Anolis sagrei: one gene and its partner. The protein of the gene in region 1 purifies or fractionates together with the protein of each later gene. This does not show direct contact. Links are inferred from orthologs where the notes say so. Each region holds a gene or a part of one and is shown on either strand. Other genes may lie near its edges.

What was found. The genes of interacting proteins can lie anywhere in the genome.
Region 2: the proteins of HIPK2 (region 1) and DCAF7 purify together in Homo sapiens (affinity purification with western blotting; 3 studies listed by BioGRID and IntAct, with this or other methods). This does not show direct contact. The link is inferred for Anolis sagrei from reciprocal best matches to the Homo sapiens genes HIPK2 and DCAF7.

What each region holds. Positions count from the first base shown.
Region 1 is NC_090025.1:172,262,947-172,270,997, forward strand, and holds the start of HIPK2 (homeodomain-interacting protein kinase 2), read left to right. Parts: upstream 1-5,017; 5' UTR 5,018-5,782; coding exon 5,783-5,801; intron 5,802-8,051.
Region 2 is NC_090026.1:51,933,696-51,940,597, forward strand, and holds the start of DCAF7 (DDB1- and CUL4-associated factor 7), read left to right. Parts: upstream 1-3,895; 5' UTR 3,896-4,031; coding exon 4,032-4,169; intron 4,170-6,902. UniProt on the Homo sapiens protein: Involved in craniofacial development. Acts upstream of the EDN1 pathway and is required for formation of the upper jaw equivalent, the palatoquadrate. The activity required for EDN1 pathway function differs between the first and second arches.

The DNA.
Region 1 (8,051 bases):
AACAATGATGGGTCTGGGCCAAACTTGGCATGAATATTCCATATGCCCAAATATGAACACAGATGGAGTTTGGGGAAAATAGACCTTGACATTTGGGAGTTGTAGTTACTGGGATTTATAGATCACCTACAATCAAAGAGCATTCTGAACCCCACTGACAGAATTGGGGCAAACTTCCCACACAAAACCCCCATGACCAACAGAAAATACTTAAGGCCATCCAGTCCATCTCCCTTCACCAGGGCAAGAAAATGTAATCAAAGCCCTCCTGACAAAGAGCCATCCAGCCATAGATATAGATAGATATATATGATTCTCACACACAGATATAGTATCATACATTTAAAAGGGACCCCTAAAGAAGGACAATTATATCTTGCATGTACCAGAGTAGGCAAACCAGACAAAGAAACAGCAAGAAATACCATTTACCCACAAGCATAAAGAAATTACATATATTAGAAAGCAACACTTTCTCATTACTCTATTTTCCAGATCACCAGACTGGGCCACAGCAACGTATGGCAGGGGACGGCTAGTAAATAAATAAATAAGTTGAACAAAAATAGATGTTTGAGAAATACTGTACACCATTGTGCCCTTTTTTATAAAGAGGAAGCTATCTACTACAACAAATGTTGGCTAAGCAAAGCAGATAATGTTTTCTCGTGGCATATGATATGGGTGTGTTCGGTGATTACTGCTTTTTTACTGGATGTGTTTCAACATACTCATTTTGTATTAGAAAACTCTTTGGTATTAGTCGAAACACATGCTCTTTCAAATTACATTCTTATAATGTGGAATTTAACAGAAGGTCAGTGTTCTTGCATTTTGCTTGCTTTTATTGTTGCAGAGAAAGAAAAAAACCTTGGGCACCAAGGCTGGAAAGATAAACATTGGGCCTGGATTGTTCAGTGGTCAGAAGAAGGGCTACACACACACACACACACACACACACACATATGAAAAACTGGGGAAACTGGATAAGGTCAATGGGAGGCTAGTTTATGTACTGTGGAAAAAAAATGCTGTATGAAACTCTGAGACCTCCATAAGATTAAGTTCTATAGAAAGCGAGAGGAACAGACAGGTTGTGCCAACAGCCCCAGGGAAATGCCCTGAAGACAAGTTACAAGAAAAGAGCTGGCAGTGCCAGGGCAGAAATTGAGCAAAAGAGATGGATCGCTTAAAATGAACACAGGAGGGGGCTCCCGTGCCTGTCACACTCAATCCAGAGACACGCTTCTGATGTGGCTCTTTTTAAGGTGGGAGTGGAGGGGCTCCATAAAGCAACAGTATAGGTTTATTTCACCATATTCATAAACACACTGTTTACAGCACACCGTTTTTTGGGGAAAGACTAAAGAGGAGAAAAGAGGCAGCAGCTCAGCACTCCTTATCTTTAAACAAGACCCACAAAGTTTGTGTTTGTGTGAAACAAAGAAATGCAGAGCACTTGAATAAAGGATCAGGAGTCTATCTTAGCTGATGTCTAAATACTGTGTTGTAAAATGTGTGACGTAAGAATATGATGTACTACTGTTAAAATCCTGAAATGTAATAGGGTGAAGAAAGGTCAAAAATAAATATTTTATAACTAATATTACTGATAAGATATGTTACGCAATGAATTTCTGCAACCACGAGCAGACATTTTTGCTGTTTAGAGCAGCCTTCCCAATTTTTTTTTTACCCTGGAGAAACCAGTGAAATAATACCGAGGTCTCAGAGAACCCTTGCCTAAAAATTATTATATTTATGTCTCTGTGCCTTCAAACACACTAAAGGCACTAGATCTCATCTGACTTTATAAACTAAGCAGGGTCAGCTATGTTTTGGATAGGAGTCCGCCAGCAAATACCAGGTGCTGTGGGATATATTTCAGAGGAAGGAACTGTCAAAACCTCTTCTGCGTATTCCTTGTTAAAGAAAACCCAATGAAATGTATGAGGTCACTATAAGACAGCAGGTAATTTGAAGGCATACAGAGAGAGAGAGAAAGAGAAAGAGTCATTTATAAACTTATGTTGACCCCTGAAATTCCATAGGTTTTCCCAGTTCCTTCCACTTAAATATTTGTTGGCAATATCCCATCCACTTTGGCAAACCCTGCTTAGGTTCCAAGATCAAACGGATTTGGGGTCTTTAAGATATTTAAGCCATTTATTATATTTACAACAACAACAACATCATCAACAATAACAACACTTGAGTTAGATTCTGCCCTATCTCCCCAAGGAGAATCAGGGTGGAGTCCAGTATACACAACACAAAGCTAAACATTCAATGCCTAGAAACAATGAAACACAAATAAAGGTAAAGGCTTCCCATTCTAGCTCTGAGGGGTGATGCTCATCACCGGTGCTCATTTCAATTTCTAAGCCAAAAAGCCTGGGTTGTCCATTGCCTTTAAACACCTCCTAGGTCATGTGGCTGGCATGACCTGCATGGAGTGCCATTTACCTTCCTGCGAGGCAGTGCCTGTTGAACTTCTCACATTTGCATGTTTTCAAGCTTCTAGGTTGGCAGAAGCTGGGGCTAATAGTGGGAGCTCACCCACTGATGAGCAGATTTGAACTGCCAACCTTTCGGGCAGCAAGTTCAGCAGCTCAGTGGTTTAATCTGTTGCATCACTGCAGATATAGATAATCAGAATTATTCTGTACTGATCTCTCACAAAATCACATGTGACCTCTTGTGGAATTTTACTATTCCAGGGAACCTTGGTTGAAAAGTCCTGGCTTAGGCAGTTTAGGAAAAAAGGAAGATTAGATTACAAATAGATATATTATTACAGATGTATATATTAAATCAAAGCAGTTCCTTTGGTGCTGAATTTACAAGGCCTGTGGAGGGATTTTGCTTATCCCAGTTTAAGGCCTCTCAAACAAGTTTGTGCTGTGCATTATTTTAATACTGCCTCTTTGAAATGCCTTCACATGAAGTGGCCAGTGTAGATGCACCCTAGAGCTCTTGGAGGAGCCACTGTGGGCCCTGTGTGTCTGCTGGGGTTTAGTCTCAGGACTCCTGCAGATACCAAAATCCAAGTCAGGCTCAATCTGGAAATGGCTGGGCCCTCAGTAGGTATCTACAAGAGTTTGGTTCCAGAACTTCTCATGAACACCAAAATCAAAGGATGTTCAAGTCCCATTATATGCAATGGCATAGTAAATAGTATATGTTATATAAAATGGCACAACCAGGTTTGCTTTTTGGAATTTTAAAAAACATTATCAAGCTGTAGATGCAGAACCCGCATAGGGAGGGCCAGCTTCGCAGTGCCTTCAAACTATGGCTTTGAGTCTGGTTCCAGAGAGGAAAGGAAGTACAAATAGATATAATAACCCAGAAGCTGATGAAGAAACACAACCTACAAACTATCTACAGACTCACTAAGAAAATCCAACAAATGCTACATTTGGCAAAGGACAAGAGGGATCCCCTCATCTCTGCAGGAGTCTACCGTATACCATGCAGCTGTGGACAAGTCTACATAGGGACCACCAAACACAGCATTGCCAAACATGAATCAAGGAAGATGAAAGGCACCGCACATTACTTCAAGCAGAGAAGTCAGCCATAGCAGAGCATCTGATGAACCAACCTCCGGGGGAGGCCATGTGACTGGTAGGGACAAGAGAGAGGGCTTTCTCAGTGATTGGCCCTCAACTTTGGAACTCCCTTCCTGGTGAGATTTGAGCAGTCCCTTCCCTCCTGTCTTTTAGAAGGATGATAAAAACTTGGCTGTGGGACCTAGCCATTGGGACAGTGCAATAAGGCAGCAATAAGAGCCCCGGTGGCACAGTGGGTTAAAGCGCTGAGCTGCTGAACTTGCTGACCAAAAGGTTGCAGGTTTGAATCAGGGGAGTGGGGTGAGCTTCTGCTGTTAGCCCTAGCTTCTGCCAACCTAGCAGTCCGAAAACATGCAAGTGTGAGTAGATCAATACGTACTGCTCTGGCAGGAAGGTAACGGCGCTCAATGCAGTCATGACCTTGGAGGTGTTAACACCGGCTCTTTGGCTTAGAAATGGAGATGAGCACCACCCCTAAGAGTCGGACACCACTGGATTTAATGTCAGGGGTAAACCTTTGCCTTTACTAGGAAACTTGAGGAGCCCCTGGTGGGGTAGCGCAATAGGTTAAACCCTTGTGCTGGCAGAACTGAAGAGGGGCAGGTTAGAGGTTCGGATTCTGGGGAGACCACGGTTGAGCTCCCTCTGTCAGCTCCAGCTCCCCATGCAGGGACATGAGAGAAGCCTCCCACAAGGATGGTAAAACATCCTGGTGTCCCCTGGGTAATGTCCTTAGGTAAAGGTAAAGTTATTCCCCTGATATTAAGTCCAGTTGTGTCTGACTCCGGGGTATGGTGCTCATCTCCATTTCTAAGCTGAAGAGCTGGCATTGTCTGTAGACACCTCCAAGGTCATGTGGCCCGGCATGACTGCATGGAGCGCTGTTACCTTCCCGCTGGAGCAGTACCTATTAATCTACTCACATTTGCATGTTTTCAAATTGCTAGGTTGGCCTTGCAGATGGCCAATTCTCTCACACCAGAAGCGACTTGCAGTTTATCAAGTAGCTCCTGACACACACACAAACCAACCCTCATCACACTAGAGAAAAAAAATCCACTTAAAATCTGGTTTCTGCCTCTTGTAGAATTCTGGAGTTTGTAGTTTAGGGAGGAACCTTTAACAGCCTCACTAAACTACAAACCCCAGAATTCTACAGGAGGCAGAAAGCGGATTTTAAGTGGATTTTTTTCCTCTGGTGTGATGAAGTGCTTGCAACCAGGTTTGATGCGGATGATTGAGACGGTTTAAGCAATAGTGGGAGCTGAAGTCCAAAACACCTGGAGGGAGGGCCCAAGTTTTGCCCGTGCCTGGCGTAGATCCTGGGGAAAGTTTTCCACAACTCGAGCGAGCAAGCCCTGCCACACCTCCCTCCTTGCCTGCCTGCCTGCCTTCCTGGCTACCGGCGGAGGGGGGCGGGCTCGGGGCTTGGCTCCCCTCCCTCCTTGTCTTCTCCTTCCTCGAAACGCGTCGTCCCTTCCCCACGATCGCGCGTCGCCCCCTTTTGTTCCCCTCCTTCCTTCGGGGAAGCCGCGATCCGTGCCATCGGCGCTTGATTATTTGCAAACTCCCTGTGCCTTCCCTCTTGCCCCCCCCCCCCTTCTCCCTCTCTCTTTTCCTCCTCCTCCTCGTTCTCTCATTGCTCTCCCTTCTCCGGCAACTTTTGCAGCCATCTCCCGGCCAGGACCGGCATGCGGAGCTGAGAGAGACCCCGTTTTCGTGGCTGCCTCTCCTTCCCCCCCTGCTTGAAGACCGAAGGGGGTCCCGGTGGTTTGGGGAGGAGGGGACTGGGGAGAGGTGCCTTCTCCTCCGCTTGACCTCTCCTCCTCCCCCTCCTCCTGCTTCTCCTCCTCCTTCTTCGCCCTGCCTTGCCTTGCCTTCCCTTTGAGCGGCTGCGGAGAGAAAGGGATGCGGGCAGGAGGCGGCTGGGCGACGCGGCGGCGGCGGTGGAGGAGGCTCCTCTCCGGAGAGACCCAGAGTCGGCTCAAGATGGCAGATTGCGATTGAGTTTTTTGCCACGCCGGGGGAGGGAGGAGGGGGGCCCGGGAGGAGGAGGAAGAAGAAGAAGAGGAGGAGGAGAAGGAGGCGAGGAAGGGGCTCCCCTTTGGAAGAAGAAGGAGAAGGAGAAGAACCCACAGGCACAGAGACAACCCTGCTTCGCTGGCGTCGCCTTTCGTGGCCATGAATAACAGGCAAACCTCGCACCCATGGCCCCCATGTACGAAGGTAAGCCCCGCCGCAGCAGAAGCCCTTTCTTTCCCATCCGAAGCAGAGGAGGAGGAGGAGGAGGAGGAAGAGACCGGGGGTACAGTCTATCTAAAACGGAGCAAACCCGGCAATTGGAAAGGATTCGGGATTAGAAGGAGAAGGGTGACCACCGATTTGGGGAACACCCCCTTTCACTATGGGGTTGCGGGGGGGGGGGTTCTTCTACACTCCCCCCCCCCCTGCTTTGTGTATATGGGATTCTCCCTCTGTATACTGAAGGATGGCTCTGGCAAGGTAGAACTAAGGTTTCGAGCATAACAACAATCATAATCAGGGATTCCTGTTATTCCTCTGCGCCTTCTCTACCTAAGCAGGCTGGTTCCTCACCAAACTATTACTATTATATTTAATGTTATCTTATAGTCTTATATTACTACTTCTATTATATTTTCTATTATGTTTATTGTATTTTATAGGATTGCTTTTAGTCTATTTTATATTATTATAATTCTATTTATATTACTACTTTTATTATATTATTATATTTTCTATTATTTTTATTATTTTCTATTATTTTTTCTATTACTACTTTTATTATATTTTCTGTTATGATTATTGTAATTTATAGGACTCCTTTTATTTAATTTAATATTACTATAATTCTATTTATATTATTACTTCCATTATATTTTTATTATAATTATTATATTTTCTATTTTATCATTTTTATATTATTATAATTATTATATTTTTATTACTACTTTTATTATATTTTATATTTTTATTATATTTTCTATTACTACTTTTATTATATTTTATATCATTATAATTATTATATTTTCTATTACTTACTTGTATTATATTATATATATTTATTATATTTTCTATTACTACTTTTATTATATTTTGTATTATTATAATTATTGTATTTTCTATTACTACTTTTATTTATATTATAATTATATTTATATTGCTACTTTTATTATATTTTCTATTATTGCAATTATTGTATTTTCTATTACTACTTTTATTATATATTATATTATTATTTTATGTTGCATATTAGTACTACTTTTATTATAATTTATATTATAACTACTACTTTTATTATATTATTGTATATGGTACTTAATAATTTATTATTATTATTATTATTATTATTATTATTAATGTATTAGTATCATTATCATCATCATTTTGAGGGGTTTTTCTTCCCCTCCCTGCTCTCTCCCCGCCCCCTTCGGAGCCGGTCCTTTGGAGAACCTTTCTTCTTCCTCTCCCCCCCCCCTTTCCCCCAGGGACGAGACAGTAGACAGTGCGGGAGGTCTAGACTACCTGGGGACAGGGCCCAGGCTTAGCAAAGTCTCTCTGCGGGAACAATGCCTTTTGACAGACGGCTGCCCGCAATCTCCAGCCTCGATCCTCAGCAAAAGAACCCACGGAAAGTCCTGCAGCTGCGTCACTCGCTGGCCCCGCTCTCCCCACCCTCACCACCCGTGGGTCTGGGCAGCTGAGTGCCTTTGCAGTGCCAGAGGTTTTATTTTCATTTTTTTTTTAGTGTGAAACATGGGAATCCTTGCTATAGGTAGAGATCTACACTGTAAAATGTATGTAGCTTGACACCCTCTTTGAAGTGCAGTGTCAGACTGCATCCACTCTACAGTGTAGATCAGGCCTGGGCCAACTTGGGCCCTCCAGGTGTTTTGGACTCCAGCTCCCACAATTCCTAACAGCCTAACGCATAAGCAGCTGAGGGGGAAAAGGAAAGGGCCTGAGGCTGTTAGGAATTGTGGGAGCTGGAGTACAAAACATCTGGAGGGCCCAAGTTGGCCCATGCCTAGTGTAGATACACACACATCTGTAGCAGTACATGTGTGCGTCTATACCAGGCATCCTCAAACTGCGGCCCTCCAGTTGTTTGGGCCTTCAACTCCCAGAATTCCTGACAATTAAACAAGCTCATTAGGGCTACTGGGAGTTAGAGGCCCAAACAGCTGGGGGGGGGGGGGGGGGACAGTTTGAAGATGCCTGGTCTATATATCCAAAGGAAGTGTTTTGTTCTCATTAAAATATCACAATGGATCTCAGTTTCGAGCTAAACAAGCCTGAGTTTGAATGGCACCGAGTTGACTAAAGTGCATGAAGTTGCCTTTTATATATATATGTGTGTGTGTTTTACTCTGGATCTTGTTCTCAGTTGCTTTCCTTGTCCTTTTCCCAAGCTTCATGGGAGTGGGGGAAAAAAAAGAAAATCGGTCACAAATAAAC
Region 2 (6,902 bases), on another chromosome or scaffold:
ACGTAAATGTGCTCACATATCCTTCCAATAATAATAAAGGGAGTAAAATAATAAATGTAATAAAAATAATAATAGAGTAAAATAATGGAAATGTAATAACAGTAATGAGAATAAAATAATAAATGTAATAATAACAATAATAAATAGAGTAAAATAATAAATGTAATAACAATAAAGAGTAAAATAATAAATGTAAGAACAACAATAATAGAGTAAAACAATAAATGTTATAATAACAATAAAGAGTAAAATAATAAATATAATAATAATAATAATAATAATAATAATAAATAGAGTAAAATAATAAATGCAATAAAAATAATACTAATAACAGAGTAAAATAGTAAATAACACTGACTCGAGTATAAGCCGAGGGGAGGTTTTTCAGCCTAAAAAGGGGGTTGAAAAACTAGGCTTATACTCGAGTATATTCAGTATTTTAAAGTCTGTGCTGATATCAATGTCACAGGTGACCAAAGTGCCTGTGTGAGAAATGCTGACTTATAATTTCATATTTTTTTATCCACTTGGAAATAAGCTTTACTAGGATCAATGAGATATTTCACTCCTATAAGTGGAAAGTCAACTAGGCTAGTGGTTGGAACATTGGGCTACAATTCTGGATTTGAATCTCCGCTTGACCTTTAAACCCAGTGAGTAATGCTGGACACATCACATTCTTTCAGCCTCAGAGGAAGGCCATGGCAAACCTCTTCTGAACGAATCTTACCAAGACAGTCCTGTAAAGGGGCTGCAACAAGTCAGAAACAACTTGAAGGCATATGGCAAGTGGAGTACAGGCAGTCCCCAAATGTACACTGAAGCTTTATCACCAATCCTTGTTCCACAGAGTTTTTGTTTTGGCCTGGAAAGTAAAAGCGATGACTGTTGTACTCCAGAACAGGGATAATCCTCTGACTTTAAACACCACACATTGAATAGGAAAAAAACAATCCTTTTATTAAAGATAAGTAAAAAGCAGCAAAGAAAAAAGCTCTTTAAAGAAATGTTGTTGTTGTTCATTCGTTCAGTCGTCTCCAACTCTTCGTGACCTCATGGACCAGCCCACGCCAGAGCTTCCTGTCGACTGTCACCACCCCCAGCTCCTTCAAGGTCAGTCCAGTCACTTCAAGGCTGCCATCCATCCATCTTGCCCGTGGTTGGCCCCTCTTCCTTTTACCTTCCACTTTCCCCAGCATAATTGTCTTCTCTAGGCTTTGCTGTCTCCTCATGATGTGGCCAAAGTACTTCAACTTTGTCTCTAATATCCTTCCCTCCAATGAGCAGTCGGGCTTTATTTCCTGGAGGATGGACTGGTTGGATCTTCTCGCAGTCCAAGGCACTCTCAGAACTTTCCTCCAACACCACAGTTCAAAAGCATCTATCTTCCTTCGCTCAGCCTTCCCTAAGGTCCAGCTCTCACATCCGTAGGTTACTACAGGGAATACCATGGCTTTGACTAGGCGGATCTTTGTTGCCAGTGTGATGTCTCTGCTCTTTACTATTTTATCGAGATTGGACATTGCTCTCCTCCCAAGAAGTAAGTGTCTTCTGATTTCCTGGCCACAGTCTGCATCTGCAGTAATCTTTGCACCTAGTAATACAAAGTCTGTCACGGCCTCCACATTTTCTCCCTCTATTTCCCAGTTGTCAATCATTCTTGTTGCCATAATCTTGGTTTTTTTTATGTTTAGCTGCAACCCGGCTTTTGTGCTTTCTTCTTTCACCTTGATTAGAAGGCTCCTCAGGTCCTCCTCACTTTCGGCCATCAGAGTGGTGTCATCTGCATATCTGAGGTTGTTAATGTTTCTTCCAGCAATTTTCACCCGAGCCTTGCATTTGTCAAGTCCCGCGCATCGCATGATGTGTTCTGCCTACAAGTTGAATAGTTGTTGTTGTTTTTGTTTTTTTGGGGGGGGGGGGTTGTCGTGTCAGGAGCAACCTGAGAAACTGAAAGTCGCTTCTGGTGTGAGAGACTTGGCCATCTGCAAGGACGTTGCCCAGAGGATGATTTGATGTTTTATCATCCTTGTGGGAGGCTTCTATCATGTCCCTGCATGAGGAGCTGGAGTTGATAGAGGGAGCTCATCTGCCTCTCCCCGAATTCGAACCTGCGACCTGTCGGTCTTCAGTCCTGCTGGCACAGGGGTTTAACCCACTACGCCACTGGGGGCTCCGTAGCTGTATAGGTTGGGTGAGAGTATACAGCCCTGCCGTACGCTTTTCCCAGTCTTGAATCAGTCTGTTGTTCCATGGTCAGTTCTTACTGTTGCTACTTGGTCTTTATTCAGGTCCCTCAGGAGACAGACAAGGTGATGTAGTATCCCCATACAATGTAAATTGGTAGAAAAGTGGGTAATGAACCATCTAGATTTGGTGGAGAAGGTGCTTGCAGTTCTGGAGGGACTCTAATTTTTCTTCTCATAGATTTGGCATGGAGATTTGTTTAACCAAGAAAAATTCATGGGAAATTTTTCAGGTGTGGTTTGAACCCCTAAAGCAGGGGTCCTCAAACGTTTTAAACAGAGGGCCATGTCAGAGTCCCTCAAACTGTTGGAGGGCCGGATTATAATTTGAAAAAAAAAAGAATGGATTCATATGCACACTGCACATATCTTATTTGTAGTGCAAAAAACACTTAAAAACAATGCAATAATTAAAATGAAGAACAATTTTAACAAATATAAACTTGTATTGTCGAAGGCTTTCATGGCCGGAATCACTGGGTTGTTGTAGGTTTTTTCAGGCTATATGGCCAGGAGAGAAATGCCTCTAGACCAGGGGTCCTCAAACTAAGGCCCGGGGGCCAGATGCGGCCCTCCAAGGTCATTTACCTGGCCCTCGCTCAGGGTCAACCTAAGTCTGAAACAACTTGAAAGCACAACACAACAATAACAATCCTGTAAATGCTCCCCTCTCATTCCTTTTATAACTTCCCAGTCGTCTGATATTTGTTATTAGCCGCCCCCTATTTTAGATTCATACATGCACTTTAAACTGTAAGTTTAGTCTGTTTTATCTTTTTAATTTGTCTCTTTTATAACATGTTTTTAGTCTGCTTTTAATCTGCTTTTATACTTACTTATCTACTTGGGAACTATACCTACTTTTATACCTACTATCTACTTGGGAACTGCGATTCCCTTCCTTGGGCACCGATGCCCCATTCTGTACTGTGCTGGTCAAAGACCGTAATAAATCATTGATTGATTGAATAACAATCCTATATCATCAGCCAAAAGCAGGTCCACACTTCCCACTGAAATAATAATAAGTTTATATTTGGTAAAATTGTTCTCCATGTTAATTATTGTATTGCTTTTAAGTGATTTTTTGCAGTACAAATAAAATATATTCAGTGTGCAAAGAAATTAATTCATTTTTTCAAGTTATACTCTGGCCCTCCAACAGTTTGAGGGACTGTGACCTGGCACTCTGTTTAAAAAGTTTGTGGACCCCTGATCTAGACCATGGCCATCTAGCCCGAAAAAACCTACAACAACCCAAATATAAACCTATTCGTATTTCAATGGCAAGTGCGGGCCTGCTTTTGGCTGATGAGATAGGATTGTTGTTGCTGTTGTGTGCCTTCAAGTTGTTTAAGACTTAGGTTGACCCTGAGCAGGGGCCGGGTAAATGACCTTGGAGGGCCATATCTGGCCCCCGGGTCTAAGTTTGAGGACCTCTGCCCTAAAGGCTTACTTGCTCTATGTTTTTCTCTATACATCTATCTACCTGTGGCTATGATATAGCCTGATTATTATTTTTTGTCAGAGGGGCGGGTTTTAATCAAGAGCGACAAGTATTCCCGCCAATAGCGTCGACGCTGCCGGGGAACCAATGAGCGGCGGAGCTTTGTGGAATGGCGTGGCGGGCAGCCAATGAGAGGGCCGGGCCCGAGTCGCAGTGGGCGAACGGCGACGGAGAGTAGTTGGCGGTCGCCGTTGTGTGCGAGGGAGAGGGAGAAGGGCCGCCGCCGCCGCTGCGGGAGGAGGAGGAGGAGGAGGAGGAGGCCTTCCCTCCCTCCCGCCATGTCGCTGCACGGGAAGCGCAAGGAGATCTACAAGTACGAGGCGCCATGGACCGTCTACGCCATGAACTGGAGCGTCAGGCCCGACAAGCGCTTCAGGCTGGCGCTCGGCAGCTTCGTGGAGGAATACAACAATAAAGTAGGCGGCGGAGAGCGGGGAGGGAGGAGGGAGGGAGGCCGCGGGTGAGGCGCCACGCAAGGCCGGAGGCCTGGCCCCTCTCCTGCCTGCCTGCCTGCTGCGGGAGGCCTCCCTCTGCTTCTCCTCAGGGAAAGGCAGAGGCTGGACCCCTTTTCCACAGCCACATCTCCCGCCGGGATTTGTAGTTCCGTGTGGCTGTCGATCTCTGCCAAATACCTCCCCAAACTACACATCCCATCACCGCGTAGGCCTTAGTGACAGTTGGGGCGCTTATTCCAAGCAGAAGGCTCCACAGGGCCCTTCCACACAGGCCTATAACCCAGAATATCAAGGCAGAAAATCCCACTGGGTTATCTGAGGCCCCTTCCACACAGCTGAATAAAATCCCACATTATCTGCTTTGAACTGGAATATATGGCGGTGTGGACTCAGATCTATATAAATAAAAATGTAATGTTCGTTTGTGGGATTAATATAACTCAAAAACCACTGGACGAAATGACACGAAATTTGGACACAAGTGACCATCACTCATTTAAAAAAAAACACACAGCAAAAGGGACTTATAAAGCCACCCCCCCCCCAAAATTACATTACAATGCATGCACAAAACCACACATCTCTGCCAATTACCTCCCCAAACTACACATCCCATCATCGCACAGGCCATAGTGACAGTTGGGGCATTTATTCCAAGCAGAAGGCTCCAGAGGGCCCTTCCACACAGCCATATAACCCAGAATATCAAGGCAGAAAATCCCACAATGTCTGCTTTGACCTGGTTATCTGAATAAAATCCGACATTATCTGCTTTGAGCTGGAATATATGGCGATGTGGACTCAGATAATCTAGGGCCCTTCCAGACAGGCCCTGTATCCCAGGATCTGATCCCAGGTTTTCTGTTTATCCCAGATTATCTGGTAGTGAGGACACATATAATCTATATAAATAAAAATGTAATGTTCAATGTATTGTCGAAGGCTTTCATGGCTGGAATCACTAGGTTCTTGTGGGTTTTTTCGGGCTATAGGGCCATGTTCTAGAGGCATTTCTCCTGACGTTAGGCGAAACATCAGGAGAAATGCCTCTAGAACAGCGTTTCTCAACCTGGGGGTCAGGACCCCTGGGTGGGTCGTGAGGCGGTGTCAGGGGGGTCGCCAAAAACCATTAGAAAACACAGTATTTTCTGTTGGTCATGGGGGTTCTGTGTGGGAAGTTTGGCCCAATTTTATCGTTGGTGGGGTTCAGAATGCTATTTGATTGAAGGTGAACTATAAATCCCAGCAACTACAACTCCCAAATGTCAAGGTCTAGTTTCCCCAAACTCCGCCAGTGTTCACATTTGGGCATATTGAGTATTTGTGCCAAGTTTGGTCCAGATCCAACATTGTTTGAGTCCACAGTACTCTCTGGATGTAGGTGAACTACAAGTCCCAAAAGTCAAGGTCAGTGCCCACCAAACCCTTCCAGTATTTTCTGTTAGTCATGGGAGTTCTGTGCATCAAAATTGGTTCAATTCCATCGTTGGTGGAGTTCAGAATGCTCTTTGATTGAAAATGAACTATAAATCCCAGCAACAACAACTCCCAAATGACAAAATCAACCGCCCACCCCAAATCCCACCAGTATTCAAATTTGGGCATATGGGTATTTGTGCCAAATGTGGTCCAGTGAATGAAATACATCCTGCATATCAGATATTTACATTATGATTCATAACAGGAGCAAAATTACAGTTATGAAGTAGCAATGACAATAACACTATGTTTGAGGGTCACCACAACATGAGGAACTGTATTAAGGGGTCGCGGCATCAGGCATCAGGAAGGTTGAGAAACACTGCTCTACAATATGGCCCTATAGCCCGAAAAAACCCACAAGAACCTAATGTAATGTTCGTTTGTGGGATTAATATAACTCAAAAACCACTGGACGAATTGACACCAAATTTGGAGACAAGACACCTATCAGGCCAATGAGTGACCATCATTCATTTAAAAAAAAAGACACAGCAAAAGGGACTTAAAAAGCAAAAAAAAAAAAAAACCCCAAAATTACATTACAATGCATGCACAAAACCACACATATATACGTAAACACACAAAACACATAGACACAGACTGGGCCACAGCAATGCGTGGTAGGGGACGGCTAGTCTATATAAATAAAAATGTAATGTTCGTTTGTGGGATTAACATAACTCAAAAACCACTGGGGGAATTGACACCAAATTTGGACACGATACACCCAGCAACCCTATATATGTCCTTCACTAAAAAAAAATTGATTTTGTCATTTGGGAGTTGCAGTTGCTGGGATTTATAGTTCAGCTACAATCAAAGAGCATTCTGAATCTCACCAACGATGGAATTGAACCAAACTTAGCACAAAGATCTCCCACAACCATCAGAAAATACTGGAAGGGTTTGGTGTTGTCCTTTGGTTTTGGAGTTGAAGTTCACCTACATCCAGAGATCACTGTGGACACAAACAATGATGGATCTGGACCAAACTCTACACGAATACTCGATATGCCCAAATGTGAACACTGGTGGAGTTTGGGGGAAATAGAATCTTGACATTCGGGAGTTGTAGTGGCTGGGATTTATAGTTCACCTACAATCACAGAGCATTCTGAACCCCACCAATGATGGAATTGAACCAAACTTAGCATACAGATCTCCCACGACCAACAGAAAATACTGGAAGGGTTTGGTGGGCAGTGTCCTTGG